3 linked regions of the Danio rerio genome follow. The protein of the gene in region 1 interacts with the protein of each later gene in a pairwise test. Links are inferred from orthologs where the notes say so. Each region holds a gene or a part of one and is shown in the gene's direction. Other genes may lie near its edges.

What was found.
Region 2: the proteins of rwdd1 (region 1) and drg2 interact in binary tests that used the Homo sapiens proteins (3 or more experiments, as listed by UniProt). The link is inferred for Danio rerio from reciprocal best matches to the Homo sapiens genes RWDD1 and DRG2.
Region 3: the proteins of rwdd1 (region 1) and drg1 interact in binary tests that used the Homo sapiens proteins (3 or more experiments, as listed by UniProt). The two-hybrid records come from large-scale screens. The link is inferred for Danio rerio from reciprocal best matches to the Homo sapiens genes RWDD1 and DRG1.

What each region holds. Positions count from the first base shown.
Region 1 is NC_133191.1:35,399,731-35,402,091, reverse strand, and holds part of rwdd1 (RWD domain-containing protein 1), read left to right. Parts: intron 1-1,707; coding exon 1,708-1,851; intron 1,852-2,361. UniProt on the Homo sapiens protein: Protects DRG2 from proteolytic degradation.
Region 2 is NC_133178.1:39,100,865-39,104,302, reverse strand, and holds the end of drg2 (developmentally-regulated GTP-binding protein 2), read left to right. Parts: intron 1-510; coding exon 511-569; intron 570-1,976; coding exon 1,977-2,030; intron 2,031-2,120; coding exon 2,121-2,207; 3' UTR 2,208-2,836; downstream 2,837-3,438. UniProt on the Homo sapiens protein: Catalyzes the conversion of GTP to GDP through hydrolysis of the gamma-phosphate bond in GTP. When hydroxylated at C-3 of 'Lys-21' by JMJD7, may bind to RNA and play a role in translation.
Region 3 is NC_133185.1:22,540,167-22,543,831, forward strand, and holds part of drg1 (developmentally-regulated GTP-binding protein 1), read left to right. Parts: intron 1-32; coding exon 33-208; intron 209-402; coding exon 403-472; intron 473-567; coding exon 568-737; intron 738-1,989; coding exon 1,990-2,120; intron 2,121-2,200; coding exon 2,201-2,368; intron 2,369-3,665. UniProt on the Homo sapiens protein: Catalyzes the conversion of GTP to GDP through hydrolysis of the gamma-phosphate bond in GTP. Appears to have an intrinsic GTPase activity that is stimulated by ZC3H15/DFRP1 binding likely by increasing the affinity for the potassium ions.

The sequences.
Region 1 (2,361 bases):
CTGCACAGTTTAGCTGCAACCTTGATCAAACACACCTGTCTTTAATTATCAAGTGATGTTCAAGTTCTAATTAATTGGTTCAGGTGTTTTTGATCAGGGTTGGAGCTGAACTCTGCAGGAAGGTAGATCTCCAGGAACAGGGTTGATCACCCCTGCCATATACCAACCTAAGTATCATTTTTATCTACATTAATTTACACATCAAAAAGTCAGTTGTTTTAGGTGAATGAATCTCTTTCACCCGAATATATAAAACGGGATTGGATAGTTTACCCACAAACTGAAACATTTGCAATGGTTTTTCACTTTAAAATAGTGTCCGATGGCTTGTTTTTAAAGCTTCTGTTATAAACCAAACATAACCTTTTAGAACCCAGCACATGGTTGATCAAAACAAGCACCAGAGTCATGGGTGTTAGCACAACAGTTTTCATATAAGAGAGTTTGTCATCATTAAAGCTTTAATCCAGGCAGACCATTAAAAAAAACACAACACTCCCATCAGCCGGCAGCTAGCTTTCTGTAACTTTCACATGGTCGCCCACTAAAGCTAAGCAGGGCTGCGCCTGGTCAATACCTGGATGGGAGACCACATAGGAAAGCTAGGTTGCTGCCGGAAGTGGTGTTAGTGAGATCAGCAGGGGGTACTCAACCTGCGGTCTGTGTAGGTTCTAAAGGTGCAGTAGGTGATCTTCCACAATGCTAACAGCTAAGCATAAATCTCTGAATCAAAGTCCCTCCCCTGCCAGCCTGAGCCACGCCTCCTGAAGCTTGAGCACACACACCTGAAAGATCCCAGAACTCTCTCTCTGTGTTAAAAGCAACGGCAAGCAGGAATTACACTCATCACTAAGCTAAACTGACATGCTATTTCAGAGCGAATATTCAGAAAAGCATGGTAAACAATATAAGGAGCGGGTCACAGGTCATCATTTTTCAAAAATGAACCAATGTGATGTGAATATAAAACCATCTTCACCTCAGTAAAGCAGGCTAGGCGGAATAGCGCTATTTACTTGTTTTGATGAAAACTAATTAAAATCTACTTTATCGATGCTGTAAAAGGACATTATGAAACTGAAAACAGTCACATCAATCATCAATCCAGAAGATCTTAGTGGCTGAACAACACTTCTGTGCAGATAACCCATTTGTAACAACATCATCTAACGTTAACGTACATCAGCTTTGTGTGAAGCTAAAATTGTTTTAAAACAGAACATTACCCTTCTAAAAGAAATCCTTCTGCCATGGTGTCACCCTTTCTCCAATGTGCCAAGGTAACTCCAATATTGATTCAGGTTTTTAAAAAGTTTTGATTCAGCATGTTTTTACAGATCGCACGCACGTTCCTTCTCTCTCCCGTTTTTTCTCGATCTCTCTCTCATGAACGCACAATGCACATACAGCGAAGCTGCATACAAACGGCTGTGCAGTTTGCTGACAGACAATTTGGGCTACTTATCGGAATTATGAGAGATGTCGGCCTGACTCTATTTAATGTGTTGAGCGCGTTGAGTGTCCAGTACAGTGCTATATAAATGTAAGGAATACTACTAGTATTACTACTAGTACTGTTTTTATTAATTCACACAAAAATGTAAAAGCGCAGAAGCATTTCCAGTTGCCTTTGTTTGCATGAAATGGGGTTGAGACTAATCAAAGGCTATTAACAACCTCTTTTTTTTTTTTTTTTTTTTTTTGAAGGCCGAAGAAAATCTAGGAATGGTGATGATATTCACATTAGTGACCGCTGTGCAGGAGAAACTAAATGAAATAATCGACCAGATCAAAAGCAGACGAGAAGAGGAGAAGCAAAGAAAACAAAAGGAGGCCGAAGAAGCTGAGAAGGTCTGTTTTAATAATAATCTTTTTTCACCTTTCAGTGTACGAACTATCCTGATCTATGACATGAAATTCAGGAGACAATGAGAAGATCATTTTAAAGGGATACTTTACCCAACCGATCTATCCTGGAGGCTCTATCTAATGGACATTATTAGTCGGGAATACACCACAGCCAAAATAAATGTAGCCAGTAAAAAAAACTCTACAATTTTGGTCAAATATGAGACTGTATCATTTGTTTCAATCCTGATTTTGTACTTCTAATTACAATAATACTGTTTTTTTATTTTACATATTTTGTTGGGTGAATCTCAGGCTTTATTCAAAATCAAAATGTTCCAAAAAAAAATATTTAAAAAAATCATTAATTAATTCTTAATTTTAAGACATCCAAGTTGCAGGTGATTTCTTTTGTTTTTAAATTGAATTGAACATTAATCTTTTGTAGGGCACTGCTTGAAATATATCAGAGTGTTACAGCGTGTTATTATAGTTCTTTGCCCAATGAAGGGT
Region 2 (3,438 bases), on another chromosome or scaffold:
TAAATTCAGTGACCCTTCCCACAGGGGTGTCCAAACTCTGTCCTGGAGAGTTTAGCTCCTACCCTAATCAACACCCCCTGAACAAGTGAATCAAGCTAGTACTAGATATACTACAAACTTTCTGGCAGATGCTTTGAAGCAAGTTGGAGATAAACTCAGCAGGACACCGTCCCTCCAGGACCGAGTTTGGACACCTCTGACCTAGCAGCAATTCTTAATTTCCTAAATAAGACCTGACGTTATGGTATTTATAAAGAAGTGCCTCGATTCATCACCATACAGTGTTTTTATGAAGTGACTAAAGGCTTTAATACAATAGTGTTAACTGCTAGTCTATATATTTTTGTTTTTTTGTAACTAAGGTGATGATTAAGAGAGTTTTTTTTATTGAAAAATCCTTTTTGTAGATGTTTCAATTGATTCTCTAAGTTAAAAGCCATAACTGTATATATGTTTGAGTGGTTGTTTTTGTTGCCTCTTAATCTGACTGTATTTTCTGTTGTTGTGTAGAACGACCAGATTTCGGTGACCCTATAATCATGAGACGAGCAGCATCAGTTAAACATGTGGTACGTCTATACATATCTACTTTCTTTATATAACTCTAGACTTTCAGTGGCATTCAGGACATTTGGTGGTTAATTCAAATGTGAAAATGAAGCCACCTTTCCGAATATGAACCCTGTGACTCTATATATTAATGCAGAAATTTATTAATAACTGTAATAAAGATTGTCATATTTGCTTGCTTAAATACATATAGTGACTTTTTTGGTCAAAGCGTGTGTGTGTGTGTGTGTGTGTGTGTGTGTGTGTGTGTGTGTGTATGTGTGTGTGTGTGTGCGCGCATTTATATGAAAGTCATCGAATTTTCTATGATAATGTGTTCTTTTGTATATTAATGAGTACAGTTTAGAAATACTGTTGTTTAATTTGTACATGAATGTGTGTTACTGTTTACTCACATTTTGATCTATTTTTCACAAGACATTTACAAGCCGGTCACTTTTGAAAATTTTTTTTGAGGGGATACCAAAATGGGCCTTTGATCTTTGATATTATGAAATACAATAAAAGACAAAATGGTTAGCCCTCCTATGTAATGTTAGTTCTGTTTTTCTAATATTTGTCAACATGAAGTTTTTTTTCCCCAACACATTTTAAACATAATAGGTTTAAGAAATAATTTCTAATAATTTATTTATTTTCTTTGCCATGATGACCGTACATAATTCACTAGTTACTTTGCAAGATACTTGTTTTCACCTTAATGCAATTTAAAAGTTTAACTAGGTTAATAAGGTTAACTAAGCAAGTTAGCTGAATTAGCTAAGTCATTGGTAGGGCAGACAGAATCTGCAGACGTTTTTTGCTATTTCTGTTAAAAATCTGCGGATTTATGCAGAATGATTTTGGGAGTGTCGTAACTAAAAACTTAACATATGACAAAAAAATTAATTTGTAACTTTTATTTAATGTTTACCATGCACATCCTATTAGATCCACTTACTTGGTAAACAAAGCAAATCTCTCATAAGATATCTACTATACATATCTGCTAAAAGACAGAAGTTATTACTTTAACCTTTTACTTCCTTTTGTCTGAGAACATTATTAGCAATTGACCTTATGGCTGACTGTGGAGATGTGCTAATTTTTGCGATTTGTTTTAGAACTTCTGATTCAGTTGACTATGAGATAATTGACTTGGAGTAATAGACAGCAGAATATGGTCAAACTACTTGCTTAACAAACAAGTGTGTTCATGACTTTACAGACCAAGCAGAATAATATAATAAGAAAATATCAGTTTGCAAAATCAAGCAGCATAACAAGCTGTGATTAATGTCTTAAAATTAATGGAATGAATGAGACCGGAAGTCTAGATCTAAAAAGATTCAAATGGTTGTGCCAACTCGCAGAATCAGGTCAATGAAGCTTTTGATAATGCTGATTCTGGTTCTTATGTATTCCAGTGTCACAGAATCCACCGGACGTTAGCTAGCCAGTTCAAGTATGCACTTGTCTGGGTAAGAGCTCCCTTCATCTGAAACACATTCTTGCTCATGTCCCATACATGTTTGTCTTCCTAAACTACTTCTTGTGTTTTTGGTTTACAGGGAACAAGCACAAAGTACAGTCCTCAGAGAGTAGGACTGACCCACATCATGGAGCACGAGGATGTCATTCAAATTGTGAAGAAATAAAATCTCGTCTCCAGATCCACTACAGTATCAACAGAACATTGGATACGTTTTCTGTTAACAGCTGCAATGTTTCAAGCAGCTTCACCTGTGATATCGACAATTGAAAAGTTAGTTTATGAAAATCACCTGACAAAACCCATTATAATAAATAACTTTCAGATTCTTGTTTGCCTTTCATAAGTAAATAAAAAGTGTTTTATTAAATAACTGAGTTAGGCATGCACACTGGGATTCAGTAAAAATACATGACAAATTGGCAAATTGTGGATTTAAAGTTTAGGGTTATTTGCAAAAACAGATAGCCACAATATTTAGAAATTTTAAGATTTATTATTTTTATTATTATTATTATTTTGCAGTTGTACTCTTCAATACTCAATGTAAAAACTTGATTTCTGGATATTGTTAAAGTCCAATTTTTAGAAATTTCCATGTGTTTTGTAGTTGTGCTTTTCAAACAAACAAACAAACAAACAAACAAAACAATGCAGTAAACAAAAAACAAAAATCTGAAAATTACTAAAAATGTGGGATTATCTGTTTTTACAAACAAAATCTTCAAGTGTATTTTAAACCTGGAGAGAAACTGATTATTTGAAGTATTTTTGAAAATAAAAGAATCAATGTGATTTTTTTTGTTTTTAAGGCATTTGTAGGGTTTTCACATGAATTTGTGGATTTTGTATAGATGGTTAGATTTTTCCACTCTATACAACTCTATGCACAATGTGTATCATTGAGAACAGCCTATAATTTCATAAATTGTCAAAAGTCACTTCTTGATCTTAATTTAAGTCATACTTAAAGAAGTAATGTGTAATCTTTCGCATCACATAAAAAATAACAGATCAAAATAGACCCTTACACATTTCCGCGTTTTTCAGTAGCGGAAGTCATCATAGTTTGGTCAATTAAGAGCACAGTGAATGGGAGAGTAGTTACATCAGATTATTTTTTTAATCTCATCTGCTTAAATAAAAGAAAAACTTCACGACAGTGTTATCAAGACTTTCAGAAAAAGGAAAAACATAATGTGTGAGACTAATATCGACAGCCAGAGGAGAGAACAACGTCAAATTTACCCACATAGACACTCAACTCAGGTGGTTATTTGTAATTTGATGCAAAGATGATATAATACATGTTTAAATATACATATAAATGTTCATACGTTTTTTTGTCTATTTAAAAAATTTAAGGACCATTAAATGCATCGTAACAGATTTGTGAA
Region 3 (3,665 bases), on another chromosome or scaffold:
TTTTTTCACCAACCTGGTTTTTCCCCCCTCAGGTTTTGATGTGGCTAAAACCGGTGATGCCCGAATAGGTTTTGTGGGCTTCCCATCAGTAGGCAAATCCACTCTTCTGAGTAACTTGGCTGGTGTGTATTCTGAAGTGGCTGCCTATGAATTCACAACACTGACAACTGTACCAGGAGTGATCCGTTACAAAGGAGCGAAAATCCAGGTGAACCATTTTGCAGTAGTCCATTACATACCTGATTAAGTTGCGTTTGGACAGTGTTGAAAGGTATAACATGATTTAGTGATTCATCATTTTGTAAAGTAGGTGTACAACCTTGCTGAATGACTGACATAAATGATGCATTCTGAATGTAAGGTCTATCGTTTTAATGGTGTGTTTCTTATTTTCTTTGTTAGCTTCTGGATCTCCCAGGTATCATTGAGGGGGCAAAAGACGGCAAAGGAAGAGGACGACAAGTCATTGCTGGTAATAGACTGTTAACACAGATAATAACAAGACACTTGTAGTGCAGTTCTGTTTTTTTAATTGGCATTTCCCTAAACTTTTCTTCATTCCAACAGTTGCTCGCACTTGTAACCTGATTCTGATTGTCTTGGATGTACTGAAGCCCCTCGGACACAAGAAGCTTATTGAACACGAGTTGGAAGGTTTTGGTATTCGGCTCAACAAGCAACCACCAAATATTGGCTTCAAGAAGAAAGACAAGGGCGGAATCAACTTCACTGCCACTGTATGACTTCAGTGTACTATTAGCTCTTTATTGCATACATTTACACACTTGGGTATTAAAAAGTTTCAAATGTTTGTTGATGTAAAGTTAATATAATTATATGTAATGAAATAATATTACAAAATGCATTTTTATTAGCTTTTTTTCTCCATTTTTTAAAAATCAATATGTCTATCATTGCAGTTATAATATTTGTCCAGTACTAATTTCCAAATTACATAATCTAATACACTGTTCTTAATTTAGTTGTAAGTAAATTATGGCTATATCAGTACTTTATTAATTAATATTGTGAAATATTAAAGGGTTTATTATCATTTATATTACATTATTTATAAATGTCCTTTTGATACAATGATTTTATCTATTTTTTTACCAAAGTTTAATTTTACATTTATCATTTGAAAAGCAATTTGACTTATATGTATATCGTAAAAGAGAATACACATTTTTTTGACACTAATCAGTTTCTCATAACATGAACAGAATTGGCATATTTTTTTTATAATTTTTTTAATCATTTCATTAGTTTTAGCCATATTGTTAATGCCTTTTTGCTTGCCTCAGCATGTTCGCTTCCATCTTTTCTTTTCTTTTTTTTTTAAATGTTTTTATTTGTTTTTTCTTTTTTGACATACACAAAACAAAAATACAAACACAACATAAAATGCCTGACACAAAACACAACTGCATATACTAAAATATACATATGGCCAAAGCCATAAGCTATTATGTTATAAACATTACAATATGGCAGGAAGAGTGAAAAGTTTGATGAAAACAGAAAACAAGAATGAATGTCTATACGGACATTGTCATTCCGAGTTTCAAAATGTCACATAAAGCAAGGTTTATACTGTCCAGATATGGTGTCCAAGTGCGAATAAATATATCAGTTGTGGAGTGGCTTAGACATGTTAAGTATTCCAGGGGAATAATCTCTTGAGTTATTGAATGCCATCCTCTTAAGGAAGGGAGCTTATCATTGATCTATGACATCAAAATGTTCTTCCTGACAGCAAAAGTTAACAGGCAGAGGAGTCGTTGTTCATACTTGTTCCTGATTAGTTTGCAAGGAAAACTCAGAAGAAGGGACAAAGGGTTTTATATCTATGTCCAGTCCAAAAATATTGTTTATTTTGGCTACAATTCTGTTCCAGTAGGCCAGAATCACATGTGCTTCCATCTTTTAATGTCTGTCATTCATCAGATAAGTTGTGTTTGCAATTGTCATTGTGTCTTTCTGTTTTAGTGTGCCCAAAGTGAGCTGGACGGTGACACTGTCAAAAGCATCCTTTCCGAGTATAAGATCCACAATGCAGATATTACCCTACGCAGCGACGCTACAGCCGATGACCTTATTGACGTGGTGGAGGGAAACCGGTAGGAGCAAATTCTCAACCTCAATCCTCAAGCGTTCTCACTTCAGAAGAGATTTTCACATGCTGGTTTTCCTCCTCTAGGGTTTACATTCCCTGCATCTATGTCCTCAACAAAATCGACCAAATCTCCATCGAGGAGCTGGACGTTATCTACAAAATCCCTCACTGCGTGCCCATCTCCGCTCACCACCGCTGGAACTTTGATGACCTGTTGGAAAAGATCTGGGATTACCTGCAACTAGTGCGCATGTGAGTTACCTTCACTGCATTCTGGGAGCAATTTTTTACATGACAGCGGAGTTTGATGATTTTTCACTTCGTAAAGCAGTGGTCACCAAACTTATTCCTGAAGGTATGTGTCCTGCAGATTTTTAGCTCCAACCCTAATCCAACACACCTAAACAAGCTAATTAAGGTGTTACTAGGTATACTTGAATCACCCAGGCAAGTGTGTTGAAGCAAGTTGGAGCTAAACCCTGCAGGGACACCGGCCCTCCAGGACCGAGATTGGTGACTTCTCTTGTTAAGAAACACTACAGTCCTGTAGTACATATTTGCGTATACCTAAAAACTGAACACATAATTCACATCCATATGACATCATAGTGTAAACTGCAAAAAACATCTAATTGTGAAAACTGAGATGATAAAAGTAAAAATGGAAGAATCAAAGCTTTAAATCAACCGAAACAATTGCTTGGTGAAATGATTCAGTGTTTCAAAGTGTTCAGTGTTTTTTGAAACGCAACATCCTGGCGCCACCTGTTGGTCAGTCCTCTAAATGCATCTCAAAAACCTCTCATTAAAGTGGACCTATTGTGCAAAAATCACTTCCATAAGGAGTTTGGGCACAGTTATGTGGCAACAGTGTGTGAATATAGCCAGCTTCAAATAAAAAAAAATAATAATAATTACCTTTTTTATTATCACACTTGATAAAAACTTTGAGCATGTCATCAGGGAGGAAAGCCCCACCCCATGGTGTCAATCTGTCCTTAGTGACATAAACAGCCCTGAGTGAGAAGCAGCTGTCCACCATTAGTGTTTTCACCATACTTGCTAAAGATAATGTGAGCGACTAAGAGACATTTTAAATGCTGAGTTTTGGGATGCACAAATGAACACTGTAGGCTCCATAGACTGCCTCCTCCTTAGCCTTCAGTCATTGATAGAGAGAACATTCATTCTTTGAATCTGCTTCTATGCTAAAGCATAGGTGTTTGCAGCTCAATGTCATTTGAGTTTAAAGAGAGAGCCACCAAAACTGCACAATTCTGGTGAAAGCCTGAAAGTTTCAGTTTCAAGGAGTTATAAAATACGATTCGTTAGGTATTTTGAGCTAAAACTTCAAACACACTCTAGGGACGTCAGAGACTTATTTTGCATCTAGTAAAAAGAGGCTTAATAGCTCCGCTTTAAATCATCTGCAAATGTGTAATGATCCAAGATCAGCACAGACTGTAAACTCTCAGTAATGTACTATACTATTTCATTATACCTGAATGATTTATAGGCTCACAGAGATTAACGCTCCTGCAGAAAACTA